3 linked regions of the Oryza sativa Japonica Group genome follow. Each later gene encodes a partner of the first gene's protein in a complex. Links are inferred from orthologs where the notes say so. Each region holds a gene or a part of one and is shown on either strand. Other genes may lie near its edges. The genes, in order: protein TIC 40, chloroplastic; protein TIC 22, chloroplastic; protein TIC 20-v, chloroplastic.

Region 1 (10,712 bases):
TAGGTTTGTTCGTTAGATGCGAGCCGGATGCGCTCTTTGGGTAGGTGCGCGCTGAAAGCTCTCGTATGCGCTCGCTTCAAGTGTCCGTGCTATAGTGTTTTTTTTTGTGGGATTGTCAGGAATTTTATTATACTCTGTGTATCAGCTGGATCCATCGCTGTGCCATGGGCTTCGTTAGTGGAATTGAGTGTGTTATCCTTGCGAATTTAGTGACCTTAAGTCATGCATCCGTGATGGAATACTGTCTTTATTTTCGTAGTATGGTGGCAGTTGGTGAGTTAGTAATGGCCACCTTATCCAGTATTGGTAGTGTGGCAAATGATGAGTACAAAATGGTCAGCATATCTGTCCTTGTTTGTAGTAATAGCCGACGAATAGACAATCCCAATCAGCTTAGGATTTCCCCCATTTTAATCTTATGCTGCCGGAGGATCTCCATTATTCTGATTGTTTAGTTGTAACAACAGGTTTCGAGGGATTAAAGACAAATGGATTTGCAAGCATGTCGTCTTCGACCAACAGTGAGAATATGTCAACTGGAACGGGTTCCCTACCTCCCATGCCACCCCCATCGTCATACATGTGCGCCAGTTTCCCTTCTTTTGTCTGGCTACAATTTTCTCAACTTACACTGCATGATGACATGTAAATCCTTTGTGCAGCGGTTCGCCTGTTTTCTGGATTGGAGTTGGTGTAGCATTGTCCGCAGCATTTTCTATGGTGTGAATACAATTACCTGTAATGCTTTTTTGTGATTAAATGTTCTTAGAGTTGTATTTTAATACTTGGTGTTGGCTGTTATATCAGGTCTCTTCGATGGTAAAGGTGAGTTCACAACTTTCCTCTGTTTCTACATCTTCAAATGGTATGTACCCTATCAATTGCATACTTGATCTTGAGAATGACCCATGGTCACCTCTGCATACTAGTACATAAGCAAGAGAGGTATTTTAGTGAGCTTTTTTTGTGATGAACCTACATACCCACATGTGAGCCATGCCTTCCTTTCTAGTTCTTAATAGTTTGAAGCAATGCATGGCATATGTTCTAGCAAAGGTGGTACTGTTGCAGTGTACTCCCTCCGTACTCGTAAAGGAAGATGTTAGGACAATGTTTAAGTCAAACCTTGGGAATATAAATCATGAATAACTCTCAAGTTGTTGAGTTTGAAAATGTAAAAATTATATGAATAGATTTGTCTTGAAAAATACTTTCATAAAAGTATACATATATCACTTTTCAATAAATATTTTTATAGAAACAAGAAGTCAAAGTTGTGTTTTGGAGACCGTGTCGCTGTCCAGAACGACTTCCTTTACGAGTACAGAGGGAGTATTGTAGTTTTGTTAGACAATTCATTTTCTTATCACATAATTTCTAGTTCTTTTCAATATTGATAAAATAGCATAATATCCATGCATTGTGATGGATGTCAAAACAATTTGGTGTACTCCCTCCGATTCCATAATTCTTGACGTTTTGGACAAGGTTGAGGTCAAATTTTTATAACTTTGACTACCAATAACTTTAAAAATATTTAGTTTAAAGGTACTAGAACAGCATATTTAGATTTGTCTTATAAAGTACAATAATAAAAGTAAAAATATATATATTTATTATATATTATAATAGAAAAACATAGTCAAAGATATATTTTGAAGACCGTGTCATTGTCCAAAACATCAAGAATTATGGAGCCGGAGGGAGTACTCACTAAGATCAAATTTTTTTATATATAAAAGACTAAAGGAAGTCCTCTAATGTAAATTCTGCATGTAAAATATGATCATATCACCTCACCCAGCTTCAAAATATTGGCATGTAAAATAGTGCAATATTTTACAAAAAAAACCTATAAGTAACACACATGTATACATAAATTCACCCATAAAAGATCCAAAGTGAGGATGATACAGCATCATCACTTCCACTAGTTCTTTTAATTACTAGAGAGTTAACATTGTTGCACCACTTCTTTTCTCGAAAGTATATCGTGATGTATCCATTGTTGCACTGATTTAATTAATACAATGTTCTCTTTGTAGGTTTGATCTGTATAATGTCTTGTTGGAACTTAAAATCGTATAACTCTCCCTTGCTTGCCAGTTTTGACACATTGCTAATTCTGATGCAGAAATATGCAATGCAACAAGCATTCAAGTCAATGATGACCCAGGCACCGCCAAACACTTTTGGCTCAAACTCGCCTTTCCCATTTGCCATGCCACCACAGGCAGCTCCTGCAGCTCCTAGCAGTTACCCATACTCACAACCAAGGAAAGATACCTCTCCTCAATCTGCAACTGTCGATGTTTCAGCTACTAAAGTGGAAGCAACTGGAACTTTGGAAGAGGCTGATGTGGCTGAACAGCCAAAGAAGAAATTTGGTATTGGCCGTTTATCTCTGAGAATTCTTCTCCAACTATCAGTGAATAGGGGATGGAGCTTGTGATTAGTGTCTAATCTTATGTTTTCTTCATACTTTTGTCATGCATATCTCATGTTATTGTAACAAAATGTTTGCAGCCTTTGTTGACGTTTCTCCTGAAGAGTTGCAGCAAAAGGAACTTCAATCTTCACTGGAGACAGTGGATGTAAAAAGTGAGAGTAAACAGAGTGAAACTATGGAGGATACTGAGCAAAAAGTAAGTTGCATGAAGAAGCTTTGTAATAGGCTCCAAGTACAATTCAACTAATCATTTTCAATGATCTTCATAGGCTCCAACAAATGGAACTGCTTTTAAGATGAATGAAGGTTCTGCTAGCGGGACAACTGAATCTAGTAAGTACTATTATCATTAGCACATTTTTATTATTCACATTTAGTTTTTTTATTTGTGTTTCTGTTTAAGGATTTTTAGTTATCTGCTGTTGATAAATGTCCTAAACTGATTATGTATGTAGGCAATTCAGGGCCTATGTTGTCCGTTGATACAATTGAGAAAATGATGGAAGATCCAGCCGTGCAGAAGATGGTTTACCCGTAAGTTTGGGACCAATATAAGTCAGAATTTTGTCTACATGAATACAGGGTTATACACCTTTTACTGATGTTAGATATCTTTGACATCTTTGAGGACAGTGCCACAACAGTATAACATGAAGTTAATTCTGCATGGAATAACTAATTGTTTCATTTCTGAAGTCTTCAGTTCTTGTAAAACGTGGAATAATAACTGTGAATTAAGAGCTCACATTTTGAAGTACCTAAGAATTTTGAAGGTTGCTAATTTCTTCAAGTGTTGCAGCTATTTGCCTGAGGAGATGAGGAACCCTGATTCATTCAAGTGTATGCTCCTACTTACTTTTTAACACTCCGATATTACATAAAATATATGTTCTGATATAGTGAGGACTGATGTCTGGAAATCTTATGTTACAGGGATGCTGCAGAATCCAATGTACCGCCAACAACTACAGGATATGCTGTAATACACTCTTCCTTGAATATTTTCCCTCCAAGCCAGTTGTTGCTAGGTCACTTTTAATTTGTCTTGAACAATGAAGTTGTCATGTGCTAGGATTATTTGGGATGAAACGGGGTGAAGGAAAATGAACTGGATTATAATAGAGGAAGAAACAGGGAATGACCCTGAACCTAAACGGCGCGACGCTCTCCGTCGCACTGAGAAGGCAGGGCCGATGGGCACTAAGATAAATATTGATCTAATGCCTAATTGATCTGGGATAGGATCCCCTCCTTATATAGATGGAGGACTACTTAACCTAATCCTAACAAACCCTGACTCTATCCAATGGGCCTAGGATTCCCGGCCCAAAGCCCATGACATTACTCACCTCTTTTCGAGCAGCTCATCCTCGAGCTGCAGCAGACCCTGCTAGACTCAAATAAAACACCATAACCTAAACTAACTCTTAAGCCTTTTACATCTCGGCTTTTAGAATTGTGGTGGACTGGCCTGTAGAATTGTGCCTTGTATTTGATGGGTTATGCCAACTTGAGTTGTGTTAGTGCCACTGATCATTACCTACAGTCTATTATGTCCCTTGCAGACTTGCGGTATTATTGCATGATGTAACTAATATACAAATCTTATCTGGCTTTCCTTAGACTATGCTGATGTTTTTCTCTAAACAGAAACAACATGGGTGGATCTCCTGATCAATGGGATAACCGAATGCTCGATCACTTGAAGAATTTTGACCTTAGCAGTCCAGAAGTCAGGCAGCAGTTTGGTGAGTGAATTAAACATTTCCACATTTACCTAGTAGTTCCTGATTGGAACACTGGAATTCTGTTTAGCTTCCATGCTATGCTTTAGTACCCTATCCCAGTGAGCAATTCGATGATATGTGCTATTCCCCCCTAATGCGAACCTGTTTTTTATTTCTTTTCTGTCTTCCTTTCTTTCTTTTTGGGCTATAGTGAAGTCATATGGAGCATATGTTCTTTTACCCCCTTTGTCACTTTCTGGTGCTAGATACGCCTAGCAGAGTTTTTCGCACCTGCTCCCATTATTATGTCCTTGCATACTTGGTAGGTGGGTGGAGATAATTAAACTGGATTGTGATTCCATTGTGCTGAACTAGTTTTCTATTGTTTGCAACAATTCATCTATTGCAAAATTGTTCCATCGCATTTTGTAAAAAGTTATTCAAATTCAAATGAGCATATATGACATCAATCTATTTTGTGTTTGCTCAGCGCAAGTTGGCATGACTCCAGAGGAGGTAGTATCGAAAATAATGGCAAACCCAGAAGTTGCTGTTGCATTCCAGAACCCAAAGATTCAAACAGCGATCATGGATGTAAGTTTCTGTACAAATTCATTTCATTACTGAATAAACTGTTGCATCTTCTAACAAAGAATCATCTTGATGCAGTGCTCACAAAACCCGCTCAATATTGTAAAATACCAGAACGACAAAGAGGTATGTTTTCTGTGTATTCCGGTCATCTATTGGACCTTTATCAATTTACTCAAAGACTTGAGATGGATTGCATCATGCTTCTCTTTCTAATTTGATGAGTCTGCTTTTAGGTCATGGATGTTTTTATGAAGATATCACAAATCTTCCCTCAAATTAATGGCTAGTGGATCGTCGCCGTGAGATTGCAGTTTTGATTTTTGTTGCCCTATCATCTCTTCCAAGTGGCTGCGGTAACATCTGTTGATCGGCTGAGTAAAAGGAAACGAAGTTCATCTGTTCAGTCATTACGGACAAGATGTAAAAGCTTTCCTGTCAGGGTTTTTTGAGTTGCCAATGTACATCATCATATCGCCTAGTGTTTGGTTTGGTAGTGACCCTGCCTCAAGCCAGAGCAGGCAACGAAGCGAAGTTAAGGATTTTTTTTATTTACATCCCCGCGCCCCCGTACAACTGTGTAGCTTGTGCTTTGACGTTACGAGGTTTGTGGTAGGTTGTGAAGATGCAGAGATAGTTCATATCACCTCAATTTTGATAATATTATGTATTATATCTGTGTTAGCATTGCAATGCAAGCGAACAAGTTTACTATCTTCCAAAGCAACTTGGTTGGATTGGTGCTTGTGTTACTCTACATATAATTTGGAGGCTAATAATTCAAGTTCTTGAGGCTACTGAGCTCATGATCATACCATAGTGATAGAGGTATGTTTTAGGTTCCAGGATACCATTGTCTACCAGTGAGGTAACCAGGACAAACTGCCTACTTTCAGCTGATCACGAGCAGAGAGATCCGGTGGATCTACCATTAGTGCTCTGTTTGGATTCCCATATGAGGGGCTCTCCCGGCAAACGATGCGATCAACAATTCCATTTCCATTATCCAAGACAGGTTCTTTGCTGCTTTGAGTTTGCTTCACGCCGTTTTGTTTTGATGGAGAGGCGTGAGAGCCGAAGGCCACCGCTGCGCTCCGGCCTCAAACACGGGCGGAGCACCTGCGTCACGGCTCACCACGCGCGCACACGACGCATTTTCTCTTCTTCTTTGTCCGGGTCTCGACGTCTCGTAGCCGCAGGTAGTAGACGACGCGTGCGTGTGCGTGGCGGGGGAGGTCGGTCGGTGGCCTTCGGTGGTGCAGCCAGCCAGCCAGCCACGCACACCGGCGCCACCGTCCCCCCCCCCCCCCCCCCCCCCCCCCCCCGCCCTCCCGTCCCGTCTACGTACGTAACACCATCCTCCGTCAGATACCACCACCACCACCACACCTGAGCACCAGCAGCGGTATAACTAGCGCAAAATTGCCGCACGCAGGGACGCAGCCTGCAGTGCAGGCGGATTCGAGATGAGGTCACACGGTCTCACACCATCCACAACACCAGTCGCCCCCGTCAGTCGTCAGACAAGTTGTGTGTGCTGAGCCTGAGGCTGCGTCGTTACTACTCGCTCAGACAGACGAGCGATCAGCGTTTTGACTCGCGGCATACGTCGCAGGGACCCCGCGCGCCGCCCAACGGGTCGTTCGTAATCGCAGCAATGGCGCGCCAGCCAATCCGTCCGGACTTTTTATTTATTTTTTGTTGTTGTTGTGACAAAATCCTCAAATGCGGCTACCGAGCACCGGCACAAACGGTGAGAAAAGAGGCGACTTCACTTCAAAAGAGTAGCCTGAGTAGGCTGCACTGGAGAGGTGAAACAATTTTTTCTTTTTAGAAAGTATATATAACCTCCAGCCACTGCAGCAACTAAGAATACACGTGGTCATAATTATGATATTACTACATCCGTCCCCAAAATAGAGTTTTAGGCTTAACGTGAGTATTAACAAAGTGGGTAAAGTTAAATGGTAAAAATATTGTGATCGGTTGAAAATAGAGAGTTGGTGGAGAATATGAATGGTGGAATATTATGATTGGTTGAGAAAAAAATGTAGGTGGAGAAATTATTATATTTTCGGACGGATGGAGTAACGTTTAAAATCTGATAGGTTGTGCCATGCATTTTCCATTCTACCACTACACCAATAATGCTTCCGCATGAAACCGAATATAGAGGGAGGAAACAAACAATCTTTTGTTTTTTAAGTGGGGAGAAAGTGATTCTGTTAGTCAATTGGATTGCTTTATTATCACTAGGGCCAGTTGTTCTCATATGTTGTTTTCGTAAATTCTAAGACGTCACTGTAATTTTCAAGACCCATTAGCTCTAGCTCTACAGGTGTTTGTTTTTTTCTCTTAGCAAATGAGGGTGCAAGGTTTGTTTGCAGTTCAGCTGTTCCATTCAGGAAACCCACCAACTCTCAGAGATAAGCACTCTCTGATCTCCCCTTTGTTGCTTTTTAAATGTGATTCTGTTAATGATTATTGGTACGAAAAAAAGGGTAGTACATCGCAAGATTGATGTCCCACTGCTTTTTTTTTTGTCACGTTCGCAATCGAAGACTTGAAGTTGTACAGTCTGCCGCTTTACGACTTCGAAAAATATGTAAAGTTGTTTTCATGTTCAAAGTAAAATAAACATCTGGGTCTGGTCAGTGCTGCATCGGCCTCAGTATTTACATAAATTTCAATGACGGATACCTTTCTGAAATCATAGCTATGTTGGAGCATTCGGCAACATGCAGTATGTTAATGAGTTCTTGATTCAGACAAACATAGTCAACGAAACGACATGGATGTATTAACAAATTAAACTTCAAGCTGAAGATACAGAAAAGTCTGCACTCTGAATAGTGCTTTGTCGCTCGCACACTGCCAATTTTTGAAGAAAAGGTGATGTTCATTTTATGAAACCAATACATGTTTTTTTTTTCTTCTCTTCTCTTCATCATTTACACGGATAGAAATATAGAATTCAGAATTTGATATTGATCAAAATCTAAAAAGCCTATGATTTCGCAAGAAAGGCTTATCGCTGGCGAAAACACGAGAAATTTATCACACATATTATGGAAAACTAAAAGTACAGGTGAAAAAAAAAAAGGCTGTGGCCTTCAGTAAAAATGCAGATGCAACTACTAGTTGACCTGGTTCTCATGTTTGAACACGATCCCCACCACAAATATATTACAGCAATTTTTTCCAGATAGTTACAGTACAGCACTTTGTCTTTGCTCTAGGAATCTTTGTAAAGAAAGGCTCTGAAGAACCTTTCCCCCCAAAAAAATGACCAGGTAAAACTAAAAACTGATTCTCAGGCCAAAAGCGCAGACTGATCTGCATCATTCGCATTGAAAAGGCCACAACACTGTCACGAGGAAAATTGTAATTCAGGAAAGGTCTCTGGAAAAGGCGCAACACGCAGCAATTCGGTGTTCAGATTGTTGCACACTTGTGTTCTCAAAATCTTTATGTCCTCACGTAACAAGAAGCATTCAGCTGAGCTAACCTAACATCAAGACAATATTGTCTGAACAGTCTCCTGCACCAGCTTAATTATCTTATCACCAACACAAATTCATAAAAGAACACTGCAAGGTTAGTGAAATGTTTGTAAGGTAACACAGATTAGAAGAAAGATGGAAAGATGCAGGGTTTCGTTTCCTCAACTGCAAACTTTTTCAGAGACAGAAAAAACTAGTACAAGAATGCAATTGACACCTCAACCCCTGTGGCTTGCACGAAAAATGCACAAAAACTAGTACAAGAATGTACACGGATTAGGCCGGTCTGTATCTCATAATTGCACGAAAGTTCATCTATCGAAATCAAGAACACGGAGTTCTTCTCTACATCCCTGTTAATTCTACGCGTCTACCGCGTGTAGATCAAAGATTACAGCGAGATGAAAATTCGTTTCTGACTTTGGCCATGTCGTCCCATTCACAAACATCTCGAGAAGAGACCGAATGTTTCTCATCTCCTCCATTCTGGACCTCGAAGAAAATACCAGCGACTGACTGATCTTCGTTTTTCAGTTCGTTGGTCAGCAAAGCCCTGAAACCGCGTAGATGTGCGTGTGTGCTTCAGCCTTTAGGTCTCAGTCTTCAGTTTCGTCAGAGAAAACACCAAAAATAGCTGTCCGATGTCACTCCATGTCTGTTTTATACGGCATAATGGAATCAGGAGCCCACAGAGAGAAAAGTATTACAGCTACTTAAACTGTATTTAATTGCAGTGTTGGGGCTTGTTAATTGCCATCTTGCAGGGTAAAGAAATGATCTTGACTTGTAATCAAATGTTTTTTCTCTTCAGTCACTAGCTGGCTGTCTCAGCAATCTGCAGAGCACACATGCCATGGATGGAGAATCTGGATCTTAGCTGGGACTCTTGCTTGTGGCAAGGCAAAGAAGACCTAGAAGAAACCTTATATGTGATGATCTCTGATGATTGCGTCCAAATCTGATACTTAAACAATAACCACTATCAATAAGATAGATTTTTCTGATGAGTAATGAAAGTGTTAGGGGAGGTGTTTCTAGATCCGGAAACAATAGATTTTTCTGATGAGTAATGAAAGTATTAGGGGAGGTGTTTCTAGATCCGGAAACCGCTCCTAGTATTCTCCCATGATCTCACTTCCTGAAAAAAAAGAAAAGAAAACAAGTACAGTTTCTTGGCCATTTTCTCTGCTGAGTGAGATGAGCACAATGATGATTCAATAATTTTCTCCAACTTCGCTGGACTTTGAAAGGCCTGGCCACATTGTGGGAGTTGCACAAAATGCCATATGAGAAATTACCTTTGCTTTCACACATTAGAAGGAAAATATCAGTAAGTAATTTCATCCTTCCCTTTTGTAATCATACAACAGAAGAAATGATCATCTGCTTATATGACCTTGTGAAGATCGTGCATAAAAAAAATGAACTTAACAAAAAGTTCATATTAAGATCTCCGATTATGGTGGCGGACCTAGAATTTTTCTTCGAACATAGATTGCGACCCCATTGGAAGATACTTGTCACTAAGTCACAACCACCATTGTACTATCATCACAACAGAAAGGATAGTGGCTATATGTCAAAAGAGAGGATTCTGATGAAATGTACTACAGCTTGCTTAAAATTCATATGCACAAAAGAAAAAAAAGAAAGAATCCCATTACTAATCACAACGTGGTCCTCCAAAATGCAACACCATAACTAATTAACAAGCCACCTATTTCCTCTTGACAAGCTATTGACACACATCAAATCACTCAACAAAGTTCTCAAAAAAAAAATCACTCAACAAGAGAGAGAGAGAGAAATACCAATAGTGCATTCATATTTCCATACTACCCAACAACCAAGTTAGCCAAAAAGAAGAAAAACAAAAAACACCCAAATCTTTCCCATTACTTTTTCTCAAACAACAACAAAAAAAATAAAAAAAAATCTAACAAAAAGTGATGAAGAGGAGAAAGAAAAACATAGACACCAACCTTTAAACCTCCACCCTTTCCCTCCCTCCCCCATTTCCCCTTCTCCATCTTCTTCCTCCTCCTCCCCAACTCGCGCCAACAATGGTCGTCTCCACAAACTCCTCCTCCTCCTCCTCTCCTCCAACCCAATGTCTCCACCTCACCTCCTCCTCCTCCTCCTAGCCCTCCTCCTCTCGCCGCCCCTCCTCCTCGCCTCCTCCTCCTTCCCCCTCCCCACCATCGCCATCGCCGCCGTCTCCAACTCCAGCTCCAACCCCTCCAAGCAGCATCTCGCGTGCGGGCTCGTGCCGGCGGCGGGGGGCGCGGCGGCGGGGTACAGGATCTCGTGCGCCAGCGTGTCGAACAGGTCGGCGGCGGCGCCGCACGTGTACGCGTATGGCGGGGACGGGACGTGCTCGCCGTACTCGGCGGTGGTCGCCGGGGACGGGTACCTGTGCTCGGCTGCGCCGACGTCGTCGCC
Region 2 (11,017 bases), on another chromosome or scaffold:
GGAATGATAGTAACTCATGGATTTGTTATTTTATCTAGATCATGCAATCTTTATATTGAGGGGATCCTTGAACTCTGATGTATGTTTACATGGCCGGTATATAGGGATACTGTTATATGGGATACGGTCCAAAAATTTAATAAAACTATAGGCATTGTGGTCTAAGTTGTATAAAACCATAAGGTTTTGACACGTGACACATAACCCTGGAATTATAGTCACAGTTTTATAGAACCACACCAACTATCGTTTGATCATCACTACCATGAGTTCTAAGGGCTGAGTTCTAAGGGCTGTTTTGGTTTAGTGCCAAATCTTGTCCTACCAAATATTTGGTAGTCTAAATAGTACTTGTGTGATATTTGGATGGATGCCAAAACTTGCCAAAACAATAGAAATCTCTACCAAAATGTTGGTAGTACCAAAAATTGCCTAAAATTTGGCACTACCAACAAATTGGTAGGGTTGCAATACAAACATGCCCTAAAATTACATATGAAATTTATAACTTCTTTGATCTATCGTATACTAGTTGTAGCTATCTTAATTTAAGTATTTTTTACTTTGATATAAGAGTAACAAGTTAAATTGGATGGTGTGATTTTGTGAAACTTTTGGATTGCAATACTCGGGTTATGTATTACATGTCAAAACCTCTGTGGTGTAACTTGAATCATAATACCTATGGTTTGGTGAAATTTACTCTATTTTAAAATTTATGGAAATTTATCATATATATGGATGGGCTGTAATCATCAATTTCTATATATTTACAATCTACTAAGGCAGGCCCTGTTTGAAATAGTTGAAATTGATGGTTGATGGATTATCTACTTTTGTGATAGTTATTTGATGAGGGTATAAATGAATGAATTAACTCCTAAAAAGCTGAAAAATTATTCTAGAAAAAAAACTACTATTCCAAAATTATTTTATGTAGAAAATTTTTGCACAAAACACACCATTTAGGAGGTTGGGAAGCGTGCAAATGAAAATAAAAAATCCAGATTTTTTTTAAAAATGGTTTAACTACAATCCAGTATAAAGGAGCGAAAAAGCTACCCCGCGATCGGTCGCCTTCACGGTGCTTCTTTTTTTGGTACCGTATTACTTTCCTATTTTAGTTGTTTATACACCGTTTGTACACCTCAAGTTTACACATATAAAGTTTATACACCTAACGTTTGTATACCCAAAGTTTATACACCTAAAGTATATACACCTAAAATTCTTATACCTAAAGTTTGTATACTAAAAGCATATACACCTAAAGTTTACGTACTTAAAGTTTAATTATACGCTGAAAGTTTATATGTCCGATTCAGATTATGGATTTATAGGTCAAAAGTTTATATATCCGATTCCAATTCAAATTCGGATTCAAATTTTTTTTACATAGAATATTTCTATGCATAAAGTTTATACGTACGAAATTTACTGGATATATTTATAAGTATAAAGTCTATACACATGAATATATTTTTAAGGGTATTAAACTTTTTATTTTCTTTTATTTTTTCTAATTTGTTTTTTAAAATGTTTTGAAATTCATGGTGCAGTAGGAAGGGGAGCAATGGGGGAGGCGCATCGTGTTAGAGGGACGGGTGCGCCCGATCGCCGTGTGCGATCACCCACCCATTAGCTCTCCCATAAGGCCTTGTTCGGTTTAGAGGGGATTGAAGAGGATTGGAGGGGATTGAGGGGAAATAATTCCACACCACAATAGGTGTGGAATAAATCCCCTCCAATCCCTCCCTCATAGGAATTAACCGAATAAGACCTAAAGGAGCACATGTCTGAGTCTATGTCATGAAAATATTAGACACAGTAACTGCTAAATTACTACATTTGTCTTACATTCTGGCGCTTGCTTATTTAGCACACCTTGTGCAGCAATTTTCTTGTCGAATCTGATTCTTCATAAATAAATGGATATTTCTGCATCATTCAAATTAAGAATCTTGGGGACTAGAGGCTTCAATGGGAGTAGTACCAGAACTTTACCTTTTTAGATAATACTAGAACTTTGCTTAAATAACTATTATTCTGCTAATACCCTATGATTCCCTCTACCACCACTTGCACCGGTGAATATTTTACAGAAAAGCACGTAATGATAGAGCAGAGATGATTCACTGGTAAACAAATTGTAGACCATGATGAACATACATTATGTTATTGATCACCAGGGGAAATTTGTTGGGGGCAACAGCTTTAAACTGAAAGATTATGCTACCACGAAAAGAAAGGGTTACTATGAATTTTCCCAAGACAAATGAAATGTTAGAGCTCAATCACTAATGAAATGGTGAACTTTTAAGCTCCACCACCTATTATTCTCCATGCTCATCTTAGAAAAGTATATATGAATTATCTGTCATTTCTTGTAAGTTTAATTCTCAATACAGCAGGTCATACTGACCTAATTTTCAACATATTTCACTTATCCATTACAAATGTACACGCGCACTAAACTAAAAATAACCGTAAGAGTTGCTAGAATCCGAGACACCTGGTCGGCGTTGGCAAATTTATTACTGAGTACTCCTATATTTAGGGGAAATATTTATACTCTCTCCGTTTCATATTATAAGACTTTCTAGCATTATCCATATTCATATAGATGTTAATAAATCTAGACATATATATGAATGTGGACAATGCTAGAAAATTTTATAATATGAAACGGAGGGAATATTATATCACAGTGCCATAACATAATTATCAGGTGATAGCCATGATGCATAGGCACACTCTCAAGACCACAGGAAGAGAGTATACTCCCTCCGTCCCATAAAAAACCAACCTAGTACTGGATGTGACACATCATAATACAACGAACGTGGACATACCTCTGTCCAGATTCATCGTACTACAATATCCGACATCCAGTACTAGATTCGTTTTTTTGAGATGGAGGGAATACAACAGAACACTACTATCACATCTACAACATCATCTCACGCTCTCACCAAGAAACAGTCCCAACACGAGATCCCAAAACGCGTCGAAGTCCACCATTTTTCCGTTGTACTCCCTCCGTCCCAAAAAAATGAATCTAGGATTGGATGAGACATATTATAGTACAACGAATCTGGACAGATGTATGTCCAGATTCATTGTACTAGAATATGTCACATCCGGTACTAGGTTGGTTTTTTAGGGATAGAGGGAGTATCATCGCCCACCTCCATCAATGTGCTTGCTACTCTGTCAAAGACACGAGCATTTCTTTCCAAAACCCAAACAAGTCCCCCAAATATTCCATGTGGATTTTGTGAGCACTCTAGATGCTTTGAAACTCAATCATCTCTGTACTCTTTGCTGCCCTGTACCTTTACACTGCAGGGGTTAGACTATGTGCCACCACCACCTTATCAAACACCAAAAATGCTGCACTTTTAAGCTCCACCGCCTATTATTCCCCTTGAAAAATCCCAAAGCCAAGCACCGCATCCTCCTGCAGCAAAGCTCCCCCACTTGTCATCTACTCCCTCCGTATTTTAATGTACGACGCCGTTGACATTTTGACAAACGTTTGACCTTTCGTCTTATTCAAAAAAAATTATGTAATTATAATTTATTTTATTATGACTTGATTTATCATCAAATGTTCTTTAAAAATAACATAAGTATTTTTATATTTGCATAAATTTTTTGAATAAGACGAGTAATCAAACGTTGGTTAAAAAGTCAACAACGTCATACATTAAAATATGGATGGAGTATCATTTAATATCTTAATCATTTTTCACCCAAAAATGTATCCAAAGTTCACCACGGATATATATCACGCCATCGATCGACCAGTGGATTAGGTAATAGATTGACACGCAAAGCTTTTACATGTTCGCGAAAACAAAATAATAAAAAAAATGCATCACCACCGTCCTGCCAAACGCGCGTGCGTGGGAAACGTGCGGTAAATAGTTGCGCCGTAAAACTCAATAGAAGAAATCAAGAAAGCCAAGCTCTCCCTGATCCTATATATATTGTTCGACGCTGGCTCACACTTGCCTCTCACCCAGACAGATCGAGCTACACACTGAGATAGTAGCTAGCTAGCTGAAGAGATCGATCTAAGTAGAGCAACTGATCAGCAGATCGAGTGATCGAATCAGCTAAGCTAGCTAGCGAAGATGGCGTTCAGGAGGTACAGGGCGCTGCCGCAAGGGGAGGTGACGGTGGAGGAGTTCAGGGCGTGGCTGGGGCAGTTCGACGCGGACGGCGACGGGAGGATCAGCCGGGACGAGCTGCAGCGCGCGCTGCGGAGCCTCAACCTGTGGTTCGCGTGGTGGAAGGCGCGCGCCGGGGTGCGCGCCGCCGACGCCAACCGCGACGGCGCCGTCGCCGGCGACGACGAGGTCGCCACGCTCTTCGCCTTCGCGCAGAGGCACCTCAACGTCAAGATCGCCGAGCTCGGCGCCTCCTACTACTGAATTAATTAACCTCCCTCTCTCTCATACTGTGATCGACAAGTGTGCGTGATCAGGATCGATGTACGTACGTAACTGTGTGAGATTGCGCGCTGTGCTGTGTATGTTTGTGTTTTTGCACATCTTTTGTGTTGACTTGATTTTGGTCTCGGAGATTCCACTCTCTATTTTTACTCTCGTTTCATCGATCACTGCGGGATTTGGAGAAATTATGTGTGATCTTTGTCGATCTCTTTAGGCCCCAATTTAAACTGACCATCGATAGCTTACTAACAAAGGGGAATTCAATTGGTGTTTGGTAAAGGCTATACTAGTATAGATTTTTAGAGGTTAAAAAAGTAAGATAATATCTAAAACGCAATCGATGATTGAGAAAATGGTTACTTACACTAATCATTAGTTAATAGGGCCAAGATAATTTAGGCACCACAATGGACAATTTAATGATTTGGCACTTTATTAGTCCGCAGTACTTTAATTGTATTGGTATTTATAAGGATGCTATATAATATCATAATGAGTCAATGATAATAATGGCTAAGTATGTTTGCGAAAGCGCATGTAGCATAGTTGTTACAAGAGTCTCAGTAGCACCTTAGGTCCTGGGTTTGACTCCCCATGGAAGCAAACTTTTCAGCATTTAACGGCTTTGTGCTTTCAGTGGTAGGCGACGTACCCGTCGACAACGAGGCGCCCGTGGTGATTTCGTCAATCTCCAGGATGCATTTGCCGGCCCAGTCTTCGAAGATGCTCATAGGGGTAAGGTTTGCGTGCGTGCGTTCATACTCATTTGAACAGTCCTCATATTTGCCTCATCTGTAAAGCTACTTGCTGGATCTGAGGGCTTTCAAGGAGACTGATTAATTTGTTTGGACTGAAAAACAACAACCGTTGGATGGTAGATGGACAGTGCACGCACATGATGTTACGTTGTAGCTCGATCCGATCCACGTCCCGTCCTCTTCCTTTGCACGCTGGCCAGCACATGATGTGTAGAGGTAGAGAGACGGTAGTCACCCACTTACCCTTAGATCTCTGTTTTTCTGAGGGCTTTTCAAGAAGTAGACTGATTAATTTGGGCTTTTTAAGAAGGAGACTGATTAATTTGTTTGGACTGAAGGCAAGAGAAACAACAGCCATTGGATGATAGATGGACAGTGCACGCACCTGACGTTACGTCGTAGCTCGATCCGATCCACGTCCCCTCCTCTTCCTTTGTGCTCCCTCCCCGTGCCGCCTGTGCCTCCACGACGATGAGGTGCCAATGCGGCAAGCAATTGGACCTCCACCTAAGCAAGGCAAGCCGCGCTGGCCAGCACATGATACGTAGAGGTACAGAGACGGTAGTCACCCACTCACCCTTGGATCTCTGTTCTTCCCCAGACAGCGTGCGCGGAGTTGAAAAATTTAGGGGCGAATAATTCCAATTCTATTGGTGATGCTCTTAGAAGCTAATTTCATCCTCCATATTGTAAGTTGTAACTAAACATATTTTCACTGAAAAAAATTGATAATTGAGCTTAACATATTTTCACTGAAAAAAAAAATGATAATGGATTGGCCGAAGCAAAACCCCCCGACCAAACCCAACCAAGGCCACACCAGTTGCAGTGCAGCACGACTCCACGAGGCCAGACGGTGCGGCTCGACCGAATCCGCACGCCGCCCGCGGCCCGCTCCTCGGCGACGCCGAGCAACACGACACCTCCGCGCGCCGCCATCCAAGTCGTCCGTCGCGTCGCGTGCCGAAAACCCAGCAGCAACCAGCCAACCACGATGCCGCCGCCGCCGCCGAACTCCTCCTCCTCCTCCTCCTCCTCCTCCTCCCTCCCGCTCGCCGCCGCCCCGATGTCCAACCCGTCGGCCCCCTCCTCCTCCTCCTCCTCCTCGTCGCTGCCCCCCAACCCCCTCGCCGCGGCCTCCTCCTTCCTCCACCACCACCTCTCCCGCCTCGCGTCCCGCTTCGCCGCGCCGCCGCGCCCAGCCCTCGCTGCTGTGACGGCGTCGGCGGCGCCCCCGGGGCCGCAGGGCGCCTCCGCCTCCCTCTCCCTCGCGCTCGCGCCCGACGAGGTCGCGCGCGCGCTCACCGGCACCCCCGTCTTCACCGTCTGCAACTCCAGCAACGAGTTCGTGCTCGTCTCCGACCCCGCCACCGGCCTCCGCTCCCTCGGCCTCCTCTGCTTCCGCTCCGAGGACGCCGACGCTCTCCTCACCCACGTATCCTCATCTTCCCATCTGTTATGCCTTTTGCTGTTTGATTTGTTCTTTTCGCCCTAATGGTTTGGGAGTTTGTGTGGTTTAGGTGAGGATGCGGCAGCCGGTGGTAGGGAGAGGGGCAAAAGTGGTGCCGATTACGCTTGATCAGGTGGGATTAAATCGATATTTTGTGATCAATTTTGTCATCACTCTTCTAGGACCAACTCTGCATAGGAAGAGTTATGGAGCATTTGGGTTTATGCAAGAGTTAAATAGGGACATACAGTTGTATGATAATTTAGTAACTGAATGACATATTAACGAGTAGCAAAGTGGGACCTGGATTTCTTCCAAGAGCAAATCAAGGAAAGCTGCCGTTTCTTATGTGCTGCCCCTTTTACCTAGCTTAGTCTATCTTTTCTTACAACACCCATGCTTTTCTTGCATATTCATGCTTGAGGGTTCTTGGGCTTAGGCTAGCCTCGTTGCAACTTCACTCGTTTCTACTTCATTCAATACAACTAGTATATTGCTTACATTTAACTATGCTGATTATTTTTTATGTTTTACAATGTAAATATACCTTAAGCCGTCCTTCTAAATGCAGGTTTACATGTTGAAGGCTGAAGGTATTGCATTTCGGTTCTTACCTGACCCTCTTCAAATTAAGAATGCGTTGGAGGTTAGTTCTTCTCTGGATTTGTGGCTCTTTGCTCCATCTTATCTATAAGTGGATATGTTTAGTACGCCCATCTGGCCATCATTCTATCTCACTAGAAAAGTGGAATTCAGTTCCTCAGGTTGACAGCATTACTCCTTAAAAGCATCAATGCAGCCATTGCATCTTCCAAAATTCCAATGGACTCCTTATATACCAATTTTACTCCCATTTAATGTTTTTAACTATTTACCAACAGTCCGAGATCTTTGCAGTTTGGGTATGTGTGTACCTATTTTCTGTATCACCACTCAAGACTTTACACATGGACTTGGTTCCTTGTATATATTATTGGTAGAGAAGTTGTACTGTCACTAATCATTGCCTTCACCAGAATGCACAAATGATATGCATACACTAGACAGATGCACGCAGAACACATGGAGTGCTGTCACATGTCAGCCTATTTCATAAGGAGAAAGTCCCTTCCTTGCAAAAGAAAAAAAAACATATGGGAAGGTGGCATTTTAAAATATAGATAATCTGTATTGTTTTTCCTGTTTCTTGGTGTGGACTGTCCACATTCAGTGGTTAGACTTCAGAGTATATCATGGAATGTACAACTCATGCCTTTTCACTCATGAATCATGAGTATATCAGAGCTGACGTCTTAACAGTGTATAGTATGTAGATTATTGCTATCTTATGCATTGTTTCACTAATGTAAGAATGCTAACAAACTTACTTCAGCCCAGTGACGATTATCCTTCGTTTTTTCAGTTAAAATCTGGCTTAACTGCTTTTGATGGTGTTCCTGTTTTCCAGGTAATACTCATGTCTGTATTATTTACTGAAAAATATACTTTTATGGAAAGCATTGAGACATACCCTTTGCGATTATTAAATGTATTTTAGAATATTAACAATAAATGTATTAAAGTTGATTTGCTGATTAATATCTTGACTCAGTATAAATTACTCGTGAACTTAATATTACCAAAGTGCATGGACTAATAGGTAGGTTCTGAAGCTATCTGCTTGTTCCTGTTAGTTATTAGCCCATGCCTATTTATTAAATGTAAATGCATGAACTGTCCTGTCATAATTTCTCGTTATTTGTCACATGTGTGCATCATTTTGTGAAGCTTTAGCCTTATCTTATTGGCACGACTTGTTGTACTAAAATAGGACTAGAAGATAAACGGATAGTCAAAAATTTTCAATTGAAAGTTTAGGCGTGCAGTAGTCTAAACCTTTTCATGGAATATCAGATCTTCTGATGTTTCGATTGTCATAGAACAAGGGAAGCCCTGATTTTCTTATCAAGGAAAAAACTGAAGTACACAGCTTTAGGTCCATCAACGCAGTTGGTTACATGTTTATTGCAGTATGACATGAAAAATCACGTGGAATAAAAGCATCATGGCAGGAGAGAATGCTTAACTTTCTTCCGGAGATGCTTGAACACTTTGTTTCAAGATATTGTGCCATTATATGTATGATTTTCCAATTATTCAGTTGTTTGCAGCACTGGACTTGTGAATTTGACAGGCTGATAGCTGTTTTTGATTATCATAGCGTTCTATCCTAAGTACAGACTATTTAAGACATTAAGTGATATATTCAGCATTTGGTGATTTATTCTTTCCAATAGCAATAATGTCCCATTTGAATGTGCAGTCAGACCTATTGGTTGTTAAGAAACAGAAGAAGCGTTACTGTCCGATATATTTTCAAAAGGTTTGCCAGGCTTCAATTTCTTTCATGTAGTTTACCCGGTCTGATTTAGGTCTTCACCATTTTCGCCTTCTTAGCTCAGGAGGACATAGAAAGAGAACTTACAAAGGCTTCTAAAACTTCTAGAGGATCTGCCTTATCTAAGCAAATCATGGTATGTGATTTTATCGTTATAATATCTGATTGCTTTCCTAGGATCTGATGATGTTGCCTTCAAATTGTGGTTTCTTTAGGTTGGGAGTTTGGAGGATGTCTTGAAGAAAATGGAGGTAGGATGACAGAAATGCGTTCTGGATTGTTTTTACTTAGGAAATACTAAACATTATAACATACTTGTTTCTACAGATGAATGAGAGGAATTCTGGTTGGGATGACTTGATCTTTATACCCCCTGGGAAAAGCCTCAACCAACATATTAATGAGGTATCAGCATAATTTTGTTCTTGCAGTGATACCACAGGGTTTGAGCACACATACACTTGCTCACTTCAAATGCTGTGATGGCCAGCCAATCAATAGTGTCAAGTTGCTGCCTGAGCTTCTTTTTAATACTTTCTTGCTAGTGGTTCTTGTAACAAAAAAGTTCAGGATTAAAGTGAAAAAATATGTGTGGTTTTTTCATTGTTTCAACCTTCAAACATCAATACAAGCTCCACTTGAAGCTGGCGAAGTGTATGAGGCGCAAAATCATCTCTGTTGCAGGAAAATTATTGTTCCACAGAAAAATTATTGTTATGTGCTAGATTACAGTCATAAAAGAAACAATAATTAACGTTGCCATGATCAGTGTGTGTTCGGTGGTCTTTCGGGGATAAAATCCAAGTTTCCCTTATCTTTAGCCACCTGGACCGAAAAGGACGTTCGTGTAATCATTTTGCCTTGTCAATCCATGTTTTGCACTTGTTTCTAACGAAATGATCTGTATTTTCTTTTCCAATGCTACTCGTTTTCATTTATCTTCCTAAACTGAAGAGGGCTAATTGCACACTTGTTCGCTTTATCTTTTCGAATTGCATCTTAGAAAGTCAACGGGCAAAATTTTCTCGATCCACCACAGATGTGTATAATATCTCACTCGTTTAAATTTAAACGAGAAGTATATTATTATTCCTTGATAAAATTTAAACGATAAGTATTAAACTCCATTCTACTCGATCGTGGATCTGCCGATTCCGCGCCAGCACAGAGAAGTCTACGAGTAGCGTCCTGGTGATCCGCGGCTCCGCGCTGGGCCGGGCCCCGGCCATGGCCTCCGCGCCAGCGAGGCTGCCGCTGCCCTGTCGAGAGGAGTAGGAACAACGGGTTGAGTGTGCTTTTCGGTTTGGAAGGTCTCTGTGTACTTAGTAGGGCAATACCATCATTCATTTGGGAGAAATTGGGAGTGGATTCTAATCCAGCGAGAGGATATCCCCTCGTTTGCCTTTTTCTTTCAAATCTATTAACTTATTAAAGTAATAGAAAAAGGAGCATCCACGTTCGCTCTCACGGCATAGAAATTCTCACATTAATCAAGAAAAAAAGTAAAGTCCATATATGTACAATTTAAAAATAACAGAAATTTAGAATTAAAAATAGGGAATATAGATAGAGGAGACTAGAGTCCATATAAGTATATACTTAAGAACTAATTAAAATTCGGAATTAAAAAATAGGAAAACTAAAACTAGAAGTCAGAGTCCCTATTGAAATATAATTTTAAAATAACTAAAATTAGAACTAAAAAAAATGGAAGAAGATTCTATAGCCTATATAGAATATAATTTAGAAAAAACTGAAATTCGGAATTAAAAAATAAAGAATATTAAAAGATGAGTTTAGAGTCCATATAGAAATACAATTAGAAACAACGGGAATTCAGAATTAAAAAATAGGTATATTGAAAAAAATAGTCTAGAGTCCATATAGGAATTTACAACAAACTGAAAGTCAAAATTAAGAAAATAAAATAAAATTAGAGTTTAGAGTCCACATAGAAGTACAATTTAGAAAA
Region 3 (10,327 bases), on another chromosome or scaffold:
GTTCATGCAACAAACTTTGATCGAACTTAATGTTAGTTATGGATAATCCGTTAATCCTACTTTTACTTTAACAAAGCGAGGGGTGTACGTATTTTGTTCACTCTTTGCAAGTAGTTGAATGAACGGTTTGATTGGCCTTGCCCGTTAATTATTTTTCCTACTGTAAGTTTGCCACTTAAGGAATCTCAATTGGAATTCAATCTGTACTTGGTAAAAAGTAATGTGGTATAATTCTGCTCGATGTATATAGTATGCTTGCATGCTAGTAGTTGTCCTGCTTTTTTGCTTTCCTAATCTGTTTCCATTTTCTGCTTAGGAATTTATAGGAACAACGGTTATCTGATGGTTTCATGCAATGGTGGACTCAACCAAATGCGAGCAGCTGTAAGCATTTAACATTTTATCATTTAGTTAAATTACACCACTCAATTATGTTTAGCATTTAACAAAACGTGCTATTTCATGTTTACCCAGATATGTGATATGGTTGTCATTGCAAGATACTTGAATGTGACTCTAATAGTGCCCGAGTTGGATAAGACATCATTTTGGAATGATCCAAGGTGCATTTTCTGTTTTGGTATTATTTTACGTTTGCCTGCATCTTTCTGACCTGTATACTAATTTATGACCATATACTTAATCAAACTTTCTTTAATTTTCCTTTTAGTGAGTTCCAAGATATATTTGATGTTGAACACTTTATAACATCTCTGAGAGATGAGGTTCGTATTCTTAGAGAGTTGCCACCAAGGGTAAAGCGAAGAGTGGAACTTGGAATGTTCCACTCAATGCCACCTATTAGCTGGTCTGATATCTCTTATTACCGTAACAAGGTTAGATGTCTATTTCACTATTTGCCCTTCAATTCTACTTTGAGTGAAAAAAAGGGTATTGAATTTAAATTCACTTTGTACAGATACTTCCTTTAATTCGGAAGCACAAGGTTCTTCATCTGAACAGAACTGATGCTAGGCTAGCAAATAACGGACTACCGCTCGATGTCCAAAAGTTGCGTTGCCGAGTTAACTTCGGTTCACTGAAGTTCACTTCCGATATTGAAGAGTTAGGCAGGAGAGTGATTAGATTGCTTCGCCAAAATGGCCCCTTTTTGGTCCTTCATTTACGATATGAAATGGATATGCTGGCTTTCTCTGGCTGTACTGAAGGCTGCACTCGTGAAGAGGCAGATGAGCTCACAAGAATGAGGTAAAAAATTGCTGGTTTTCAAACTATCAATTCGAGATCATTTCATTCTTGCATATTGTTTTTTTTTAGCCGTCACATAATACAGCTGAGTTACTCATAATCTCAGATATGCTTATCCATGGTGGAAAGAGAAAGTAATAAACTCCTATGCAAAAAGAAAAGATGGCCTTTGCCCTTTGACACCAGAGGAGATTGCTCTTGTCCTCAGAGCCTTGGACATTGACAGAAGTATGCAGATATACATTGCAGCTGGAGAAATATATGGTGGAAAGCGTAGAATGGCTGCTCTTACTTCAGCGTATCCCAACGTGGTATGGACCAAATTGTGCACATGTATCTTTGATGGCATCACTGGTATCATTACTCTGCAGACTGCAGATCTCTTTTTCCATTTTGCTGATGTGTGTTCTTATAATTGATGCTCTAGGTGAGAAAGGAGACACTTTTGCAACCTTCCGATCTCATGTTCTTCCAGAACCATTCGTCACAAATGGCAGCTCTGGATTACTTGGTATCACTGGAAAGTGATATATTTGTTCCAACATATGATGGTAATATGGCTAAAGTTGTTGAGGGACACCGCAGGTATATTTTGTACTTGATCACACCTCTGCATTCTAAGTACAGTACTATATTCCTACATTGTCCTTTTGAACCTGGACATTCTAATAGTCATAGAATGTAAACCGAATGGGAGGACTTTATGCAATGTTAAACAATTTCTTTTCTTTAGAGGTAAAGCTGATTGATTATTTTTCTGTTACAGGTTCATGGGTTTTAAGAAAACAATCTTATTGGATCGAAAACTCATTGTTGAGCTGGTCGACCAGTATAATAGTGGTTCTATGCTGTGGGATGAATTCTCTTCACTAATCAAGTCTGTCCACGCAAACCGAATGGGAGCAGCTTCAAAAAGGACAGTGATTCATGACAAACCGAAGGAAGAGGACTACTTCTATGCTAACCCTCAAGAGTGCTTGCGAGATCCCAATCTTTTACGGACATCATGATATTTTTAATAGCGCAATTGCGCGAGTATACTTATTACCATTACACGTTTACAGCATAGCTGAACTTGTTTCTTCCGAGCTGACTCAAATGGCTCGGCATTTTCAGTTCAGAACTTCAGGTTGGGCCATTGACAAGGGAGTTTGGATGGAAGCTGAAAGAAAGGATGATACAATTGTGAGCTTGTGACTACTTAACTCAAATGTAGTTGGTACATAGACGTTACATGTTGGGGAATTGGGGATGTTAGGTTTCCTAATTACGCCGATTAAGAGAAGATATTCATGTATAGATGGGGGCGGGTTAGTGGATAAGTTAGTTCAACAGAACGTTACCGATCATGGTTCATGAAGGAAATTGTTATATATCAGGTTTTTCATACTTTGTGCAGACATTACTGCTCTTGCATCTTGAATTTCTCTCCGTCTCCTGAAGTTTTACCATGTAGTACTACCAACTGTTTCAGCAGTCTGAACAGATGCTGCTGGTTGTTGGGTGTATATATGCTCTGATTGTGTATTATAGAACACCAGAATGCACGGTGATGTATCATTTTTTTTACCACGGCTGTGCTGTGGTGGTGTATCGAAGTAATACATGCCTCTACTTGTTAACGTGCGAGTCAGTGCATCTTGTTTTCAGTGGCGATTAAGATAGGATTAGCACTGATCCAAGAGCGACCCAGCAGTTAAGTGGTCTTGTCCTACTCGTTATCGTCTCATCGATCGTTGGAGCACTCAGCTCGAAATGCAGTGAACCACCGCGAGAATAGCCGCTAGAGATGCGCGCGAATCTGGCACGGAGCGCGCGGCCGAGCCGAGCCGAGCCCATCCCACAGTGCACGGGGTTGAGTGCCTCGTCGTCTCCACTTCGTTGCCGATCTCTACTCGTCAACGCGCGCGAGGGACTCGACGTGCAACCGATCCCTAGGCGATCGCTCTGCTAGACTGCTACGTTCGAGCTCGTGCATATGCGCCTGGTTTTGTGCGATGGATTGGAGGATTAACGTTGACGCAAGAGCCATCTTGGGATCGAGTTTAATTTAATTTTACTAGTGCTCCATTCGACGGGAAACGTGCCAGTAGGAGGCAATGGGGATGAGATTGATGAATTTTCATATGGCAGTATGAGGCAATGGTAGATCCGCAAGCTGCATAGCTCGTGTAATTAGTAAACCATGCTGGTAGATTTGTAGTCTGCTTTTGTGCTAGTGAAGCAGTCAGTCAGGTAACTCTCGGGTGTGGAACGGAGGGAAGATTAACGTGCCACGCTGCTGCAGGCTGCAGCTGTTCTCCCCTTTCTTTTACAGGACCATCCAAATCCATTAAACGAAAATCACACATTATTACAGTTCGTACAACGAAAATCACTCCATTTCCTTGTGTGTGTCAGATCGCTGCCAGCCAATTGTCAAGTGCCAACGGCTGAACGACACACTACGGGCATTACGGGCCGCGCGCGCGGAGTTCAGCTTGAGAGGCGTACAACGCCTTAGCCCATTACGAAATCGCGATGCATATGGTACGACGAAAGCCTGGTAGCCCACGCAGGAAAACCGGCAAAACGCGTCTCAGACGAGGCCCAAACAGTACGCCTGATCCTTTCGGCCCAGTGAACAGCACGGCGCCGCAAGCTTTGGCCCATCTAATGCTCTTCCTGCCTGCCGCGGCGCCCTCGCCGTTGCCCTCCCGCACCAGGCACCACCAACCAATCTCCTCGTCTCCCACTCGGCCACATGCCCCACATCCCACCGAAATCTGGAAAAATCTCCACGCTCCCAACCCCGCTTCGCCTTCGCCCCGGTGGCCGCAGCCGCGCGGCGCCACTGCCCCCCAACCAGCCAAACTCCCCCACCTCACGGCACTGCACCCGCAAAAATCTCAGCTCCCACCCGCCGCGCCGCGCCGCGCCGCGCTGCTCCCCCAACCAAATCCCTTCTCCATGGCATCCGCCGTTTCGCTCCTCCTCCTCTCGTCCCCGCGCCCGCTCCGCCGCGCGGCGCCGGTGCCAGCGCTACGCTCCCAGGCGCGCCACCCCTTGCTCCTCGGCCACGCGGGCGAGACCGCGCTCGGGGTATGGGCCACGCGCGCCCGCCTGCCCGCGCCGCCGCCGCGCGCCTCCAACCCGAACAACGACAACGACAACAGCGGCGCCGTGGAGGCGCCCGACCGCCTGGTGGCCGCCGTCGCCTACCTCTACCCGTTCCTCGACGGCGTGCACCACGGCCGCTTCCTCCTCGCGCAGTTCCCGCTCTTCAGCACCCTGCTCAGCCCGCTCGCGCCGGCCGCGCGCCTCTTCCGCTCCTCCCCGCTCACGCCCTTCCTCCTCTTCCTCACCCTCTACTTCGCCGTCGTGCGCAACCAGCAGGCCTTCTCCCGCTTCGTCCGCTTCAACGCCATGCAGGCCGTCGCGCTCGACGTGCTGCTCATCTTCCCCGACCTCCTCGTGCAGTCCTTCGCGCCCTCCACCGGTGGCGGGATCGGCTTCGAGCTCTTCCAGAGTATGGAGAGCACCGTGTTCCTCTTCCTGCTCGTCTGCCTAGTCTACGGCGGGGGCGCGTGCCTGCTAGGGAAGACGCCGCGGCTGCCAATCGTCGCAGATGCAGCCGAGCGCCAGGTGATGTGATGAGCTTTTGTCAAATCTTGCTGGTGAAAAGGAACAAAGGAAAATGATATACACATCCATCTCGATGCCTCATTGATGTTAGTAGATCGCAAATTCACAAGTTCAGTTTAGTACAGTGATTATTTACAGCTGTAGTAACCAATTTAATGAATGGAGTTACGGAAGGTTGGTACAATGGCATTACAAAATTTACAATCAAGTGTATGAACGAATGAGTTGAATTGGGAATTTTTAGAGATAGCAATACATATACTCGCTATAGAATATGGAATTCTGGACTACATTTACAGATGATGAATGAGAAATTGGGGAGTGTCCTCAAGACCTCCCCTGAAGGAGCTTCAATGGTATATGAATGGATGCTTAGGTTAGTTAATTGTTGTTGCAATATAAATAAAATAATTGCATCAATTGGGGATTGTGGTTGCTGCTACCAAGTTATTGTCTGAACTTGATGATGTCTGAATTTTCTAGTTTGGAGAAAAAGTTCTAGCTTTTATTGCACCGCCTCTTGGTTATTTGGATGGGCTCTTCATCTTCATTGATCTGTGATGTGAAGTCAGGACAAAGGTACAAAATAATTATTAAGCAGACGATCTATATGTTCAAACATCATGAATAAATCAACTTTGTAAAGCTCTATACCTTTGAGTTGTCACTAGTATTATCTCTTGCTCGTTTGGCCAGGTTGATCTCTACAGCTATATTAGCTTGAGATGGATCTAGTCCTGACTTTTTAAGAGCTTCTGTCAATCTGTTGAATAATCTGTTGCAAATTGAAGTAGTATCCTGTTAGTTACATATTGTGCTAACTTTAGTCTTGAAGTAACAAATGGTTAAGGAACAGACCCTTGAGAGTAAGCGCTAGAAATACTATGGTTTTCATCGTGAAGGGTCTGTTTCTCATGCTTGTTCGGCATTTTGTTGCCTGGTTCAGACTCTTGGCGCATTGTTGACATGCTCAGCCATGGTGGCTGATTGCTGGGTGTGCTGTTCTCTGCGTTTAAAAGACATTAAAGTTAGTGGATCTAGTTCTTAATTACAAGAATTCTGACTGTTGAAAGGTGATAAGAAATGGACTTACTTTCCAAATTTTGTGGTGTGCCTGTTGCCATGTGGGAGGAACTGGTGGTTGTACTGGTTACACTCTGTGTGTTGAAGAGAGCAGGTTGTGCTGCCGATATGTGCTTGGGACCGTACTGTTCGTTGTTCATGTCCTGTGTGGATGGTGACAAATCTTCCCCCTGGACTTGACTGGTGTTCTGTGAGACCATGAACAAGAAACAAGGATGGGTACATATCATTGGTATATGATTATGATGAATTGTGCATTCGCTTTCAGTTGCTGTTTTTATTTTACGGAATTACCTTTGTGTTTCTCCAGCATGATCTATAGTAGACTTTTGCCTACCAAGAAAAAAAAATAGAGGGTGAATACTGTTGCACAATTATGTCATGAACATGCTAACATGGCTATGATAGTACCCATGGCATGGATTTGGAATCCTCGTGATTCCTTTCTGGATCGGCTTCCTCATACTTTTGGACTTTCTCTTGCAAAAACCTTATGTATTCAATAACCTGCAAACAAAATGCTTCACAAGGGAGAAATTGCAATATAGCCTGCTGACTACAGTGCCAAAATTGATATTCTGTTTACCTCCGAAAGGAAAGAAGCTTTGTCTCTCTTCTGATCAGTGTGTGGCAGGAGTTCACGAAGTATTTCAAGCCTGAAGGAGAGCATGAAGAATTGCATTTTAGAACACATTTCTTGCACCATATACTTATATGAAATTGTCTTGGAATTAAATGCTGCTAATATGATATCTTGTTGAGCTATCTAGCTACGTCTTCATGGTTGGTTTGTTCCTGCTCTGCAGAAAATAATTCAAAATGGTGTTTGACCTCTACTAGCTTGCCTGTCATTTATCTTGGTCCTCCTTCTCTGCTCAGTTGCTGAATGCTTTGATCTCGGAGTGCTGGGTCCCTGATCGGCGCTGCTGGCGCTACTTCTTCCCTCTGCTCTTGTTGCTGAGTGCACATGTATATATCAAATCCATCAGTGCCTGAATTGAAGTGACAGACTAGAGAATCAACAATACAACTGCGGTACTAACCTTCATATGGTGTCTGGCCTATGGATCTTTGATCAATGGCAGAATCTTGCCACATCGTCGACGGCGCACGGTGAGCCCTACTCCCAGATCTTCCTCCTGTTTCATGTGCATTCTCCATCCTGGCGCCATGAAGCGCAGGTGCAAATGCGAACGCACTCCTCCTGACGCCGCCATGGCTACCGGCCTCTTCTCTCGACGGAGTACCGGACGCGTGCCTGATGCTGAACGTCCCGACGCCGCCCGGTAGCACGTGCTCCTCCGAGTCCGAACCTGCCGGCGACGCGCCGTCGACGGCACTCCCCGCCGCCGTGCCATTGCCGCTGCTGCGGCCGCGCTGCTTGGCCAGGTCCAGTGGCCTCAGTGATCTGCGGATCTCCATACCGTATCCTGCACTTGACATGGGTAACATGGGTTAGCAAGTTGGTGCATTGCTGTCTAACTTGCACACCATGGCACTTGCAGTTGAGAAGGCAAAGGAGAGGGCGGTGCAGACAGCTCACCTCGCGATGAATGGCTGGAATGCTGCTCCTCCCGGTGCTGGAACGGCGGCGACGACGAGCCGCCGCCGGCGCGGAGCGAGAGGAAGTCATGAGCCGGCTCCTCTCCTGCGAATCACCGACAAGCACAACACAACACACGGCAATGTACCATGAGCTGATGAGCATCATGCGGTGAAGAGAGAAGACGCTGTGGAATTGGAGGAAGGAAGGAAAGGACACTAGGGTGAAGTGTAATTCTCTTTGATACCTTGGAAAAGCTGCATTGGCGCCCGGGACACAGGACACTGGAGATCTGTCGACGCTGCTGCCAAGCCGAGCGGCCTGCCGTTGCAGCAGAAAGATGGCGCCTGGATCTTGCCGCTGGGCAGTACACTGATGGAATGTAGCGAATTCGGTTGTCCACTCGGACCTTATTATAGTCGGCTAAGAGAGAGTCGAGAAGGATAGGAGACTGATAATGATATAACAAATAAGCTAGGGAGGTAAGCCCTGCTGCCTGCCGCCTCCCTGCCTGTCTGGCTGGTAGTATTATACTTTGTACCTTTGATATAACAAACGTTTCATGGTTAGATTATACTCTCTCACATCCACGTCTCCCTTTGCATCATCATACTATACAGGGAGTGGATTCTAATCCCTCGAGGGGATATCCCCCGTATACCTTTTTCTTTCAAATTTGATGCAAATAGTTGCAAAAAATTCTAAAAAAAAAATGACAATATAGAGTATAATGATGCCTACAAGTCCACCAAAATTCATGTTCAAATTCGATCTACACATCGAGAAACAAAAAAGACAAATTTAGATATAAACAGTACGCTACTATTCATAGGCTGAATTTGTCTTTTTTATATCTCGACGTGTGAGTTGAGTTTGGACTTAAGATTTAGTTGAGTTGCATATATGTGTTGTATGGATGTTGTCAAATTTTTCCAGAATTTTTCATAACCGTTTAGATGGTTTTTAAGCAAACAAGAGAACATCCCCTCGAGAAATTAGAATAGTTTCCCGGCAGATGCGAAAGCATTGCATGTCACCTGCAGAAGTTTCATAATATAAGATAGGGGTAGTTGTTTAGTTAAAGCTACATATGTACGTCGGCAAAGTAATTAAGTATTGCGCACGGTAGTTTTGATCGATATATCTGTGATGGCCAACCTTTTGATGACCGACGAGACAGCAAAGCTACCGATCGGTTACCGCTAATTGCGGGACAGCGGATACATCAACTTTTAACCGAGGAGAGCAAATGCCAACTTCGGATAAACGAGGCAGCAGGTAGAAGCGAAAGAAGGAAAAGGAGAGGCTACTTAGCTAGCTATAAGCAGCTCACGTGCTCCGCCGGTGGCGCGAGGCGGTGTTGCGGGGTGGGGGCCTCGCGCTTTCCTGCCGTTTCCACCCCCGCCCTTTGCGCGCGCATGCACGCCGACGGCGGCGCACGCGACACCTGGCCTTCTGCCCTTCCCGAGCAGTTTGCTAGCTACGCTTGCCTCGCCGCCGCCACGCGCGCGCGCGCCACCGGCAGGCAGTGGCACGGACTCATGCCGCGGGTGCATTTCCAGCGCCGCCGCACCCAGCGCCAGCGGACGGGGGCCGCCTTTACAGCCTCCAACCGAAGGCGCGCGCGCGTCGAATCGATCGATCGATCTACCGTGCGCGACATGCCACGCGCTCGCCGAAACGGACGGGAGATCGATCGGGATCCCGGCCCGCGCGCGCGACCACCGGGCGTTGTGTTGCTGCGTTCGTGGACCGGTGCACGGGGCACGGCCATGTCACACTCACCCGTAATTGCCTGGATCGATTGGTCGCGCGTAGTACGTGCCGTGGTGCACGTGCCCCGCGGTGTGTGGGGATGCGTCTACGATCTACGTGGATGGACCCCGTGTCCCCGTCGGTACGCGACCGATCGATCGATCGGTCGATGCGTGGGGCGGTGCATGAACCCGACGACGCGGCTAGCTCGAAAGCGAAACACGTACGGCGAATTGGCGAGACTGTCAAATCATCTGTGTGGCAAATCTGAGCCGGGAAGTGAGAGTGACCGGCGTTGCAGGTTAGGGTTCTCGTGAACCGACTCGGCGTGAGCATCCGACAATTAGGATTTGAAATTGATTAGGAGATAGAAGAAGAGCTTTAGCTTAAGCTCTCAAAGTCGTTGCGCCCAAAAAACGACAAGGAGCATGTGTCCCGCATAACCCACGAAGCTTCGTGGCCGTTTCGCTCCGAGACATAAGAAAACGTCCAAGGGCTAATGGCGAGTAGTTACCTTGTGCATGCCGGCCGGATTAGTAGTTCTTTAGATTAGATCGATCCCGATCGAAATGATTTGATCCCATCATTGACAGCGCAGGCAGGCAGTGCGTGATCGGTGGACGTGCCTCTCCTGTCCTCTCCTCTGTTCTGCTCTGATCAGAACATTCCCTCTGCAGAACTGCAAAGCTGAGGAATCCGTTTAGGGATCAGTAAACAACTCCGGCCCGCGATTAAATTAACTCCCGATTAAGATATCCTCCCGCAGTGCTCGATCGTCACTCAGATCTGAGAGCATCGATCACGTGGCCAACGCATCGATCCAACGCCATAGCCACCGCCAAGTTATTACCATGCTGCTACAGTGCCAGTACAGTACGTCGCACCTGCTCTGTTCGCTGCATCATGTCTCTGCAGTAACAAAATTACAAAGCGGAGTAACAGGTATCAGCAGTAGCTGGCTTAGCTAAGGCCGAGAGCCCGAGATGGAGGAGCACGTTGAGGATTTGGGCAGCGTTTGCCTTTTCGGTTGGATTATGAAACATGGATCTGTTTTTTAGGGGAGAAGCATGTGAGTTTGGGGCTTTCGGGGTGAGTTGTCGCCTTCATGGCCAA

The links.
Region 2: protein TIC 40, chloroplastic (region 1) and protein TIC 22, chloroplastic share a complex: the UniProt entries of both Arabidopsis thaliana proteins name them as parts of the tic complex. The link is inferred for Oryza sativa Japonica Group from reciprocal best matches to the Arabidopsis thaliana genes TIC40 and Tic22-IV.
Region 3: protein TIC 40, chloroplastic (region 1) and protein TIC 20-v, chloroplastic share a complex: the UniProt entries of both Arabidopsis thaliana proteins name them as parts of the tic complex. The link is inferred for Oryza sativa Japonica Group from reciprocal best matches to the Arabidopsis thaliana genes TIC40 and Tic20-V.

What each region holds. Positions count from the first base shown.
Region 1 is NC_089038.1:22,281,825-22,292,536, reverse strand, and holds the end of protein TIC 40, chloroplastic, read left to right. Parts: intron 1-467; coding exon 468-582; intron 583-662; coding exon 663-720; intron 721-807; coding exon 808-825; intron 826-2,134; coding exon 2,135-2,387; intron 2,388-2,526; coding exon 2,527-2,645; intron 2,646-2,718; coding exon 2,719-2,782; intron 2,783-2,904; coding exon 2,905-2,983; intron 2,984-3,248; coding exon 3,249-3,289; intron 3,290-3,382; coding exon 3,383-3,428; intron 3,429-4,099; coding exon 4,100-4,197; intron 4,198-4,666; coding exon 4,667-4,770; intron 4,771-4,845; coding exon 4,846-4,893; intron 4,894-5,003; coding exon 5,004-5,057; 3' UTR 5,058-5,481; downstream 5,482-10,712. Other genes in the region: serine/threonine-protein kinase-like protein CCR4, read left to right, coding at 10,381-10,712. UniProt on the Arabidopsis thaliana protein: Involved in protein precursor import into chloroplasts. Part of the motor complex consisting of a co-chaperone (TIC40) and a chaperone (HSP93) associated with the import channel (TIC110).
Region 2 is NC_089040.1:5,939,269-5,950,285, reverse strand, and holds protein TIC 22, chloroplastic, read left to right. Parts: upstream 1-6,034; 5' UTR 6,035-6,212; coding exon 6,213-6,653; intron 6,654-6,738; coding exon 6,739-6,801; intron 6,802-7,239; coding exon 7,240-7,314; intron 7,315-8,070; coding exon 8,071-8,115; intron 8,116-8,970; coding exon 8,971-9,030; intron 9,031-9,079; coding exon of another isoform or gene 9,080-9,109; coding exon 9,110-9,181; intron 9,182-9,260; coding exon 9,261-9,296; intron 9,297-9,372; coding exon 9,373-9,462; 3' UTR 9,463-9,807; downstream 9,808-11,017. Other genes in the region: uncharacterized protein, read left to right, coding at 4,140-4,439. UniProt on the Arabidopsis thaliana protein: Involved in protein precursor import into chloroplasts. Imported into the intermembrane space via the Toc translocon. May be involved in the import pathway used by proteins without a cleavable N-terminal pre-sequence.
Region 3 is NC_089036.1:30,719,610-30,729,936, forward strand, and holds protein TIC 20-v, chloroplastic, read left to right. Parts: upstream 1-3,935; 5' UTR 3,936-4,158; coding exon 4,159-4,842; 3' UTR 4,843-5,253; downstream 5,254-10,327. Other genes in the region: rhamnogalacturonan I rhamnosyltransferase 1, read left to right, coding at 317-384, 475-563, 671-836, 920-1,209, 1,316-1,520, 1,637-1,794, 1,976-2,219; transcription factor BIM2, read right to left, coding at 5,332-5,388, 5,488-5,608, 5,692-5,839, 5,927-6,104, 6,211-6,249, 6,328-6,423, 6,503-6,572, 6,762-6,873 and 3 more. UniProt on the Arabidopsis thaliana protein: May be involved in protein precursor import into chloroplasts. Not redundant with TIC20-I, TIC20-II or TIC20-IV.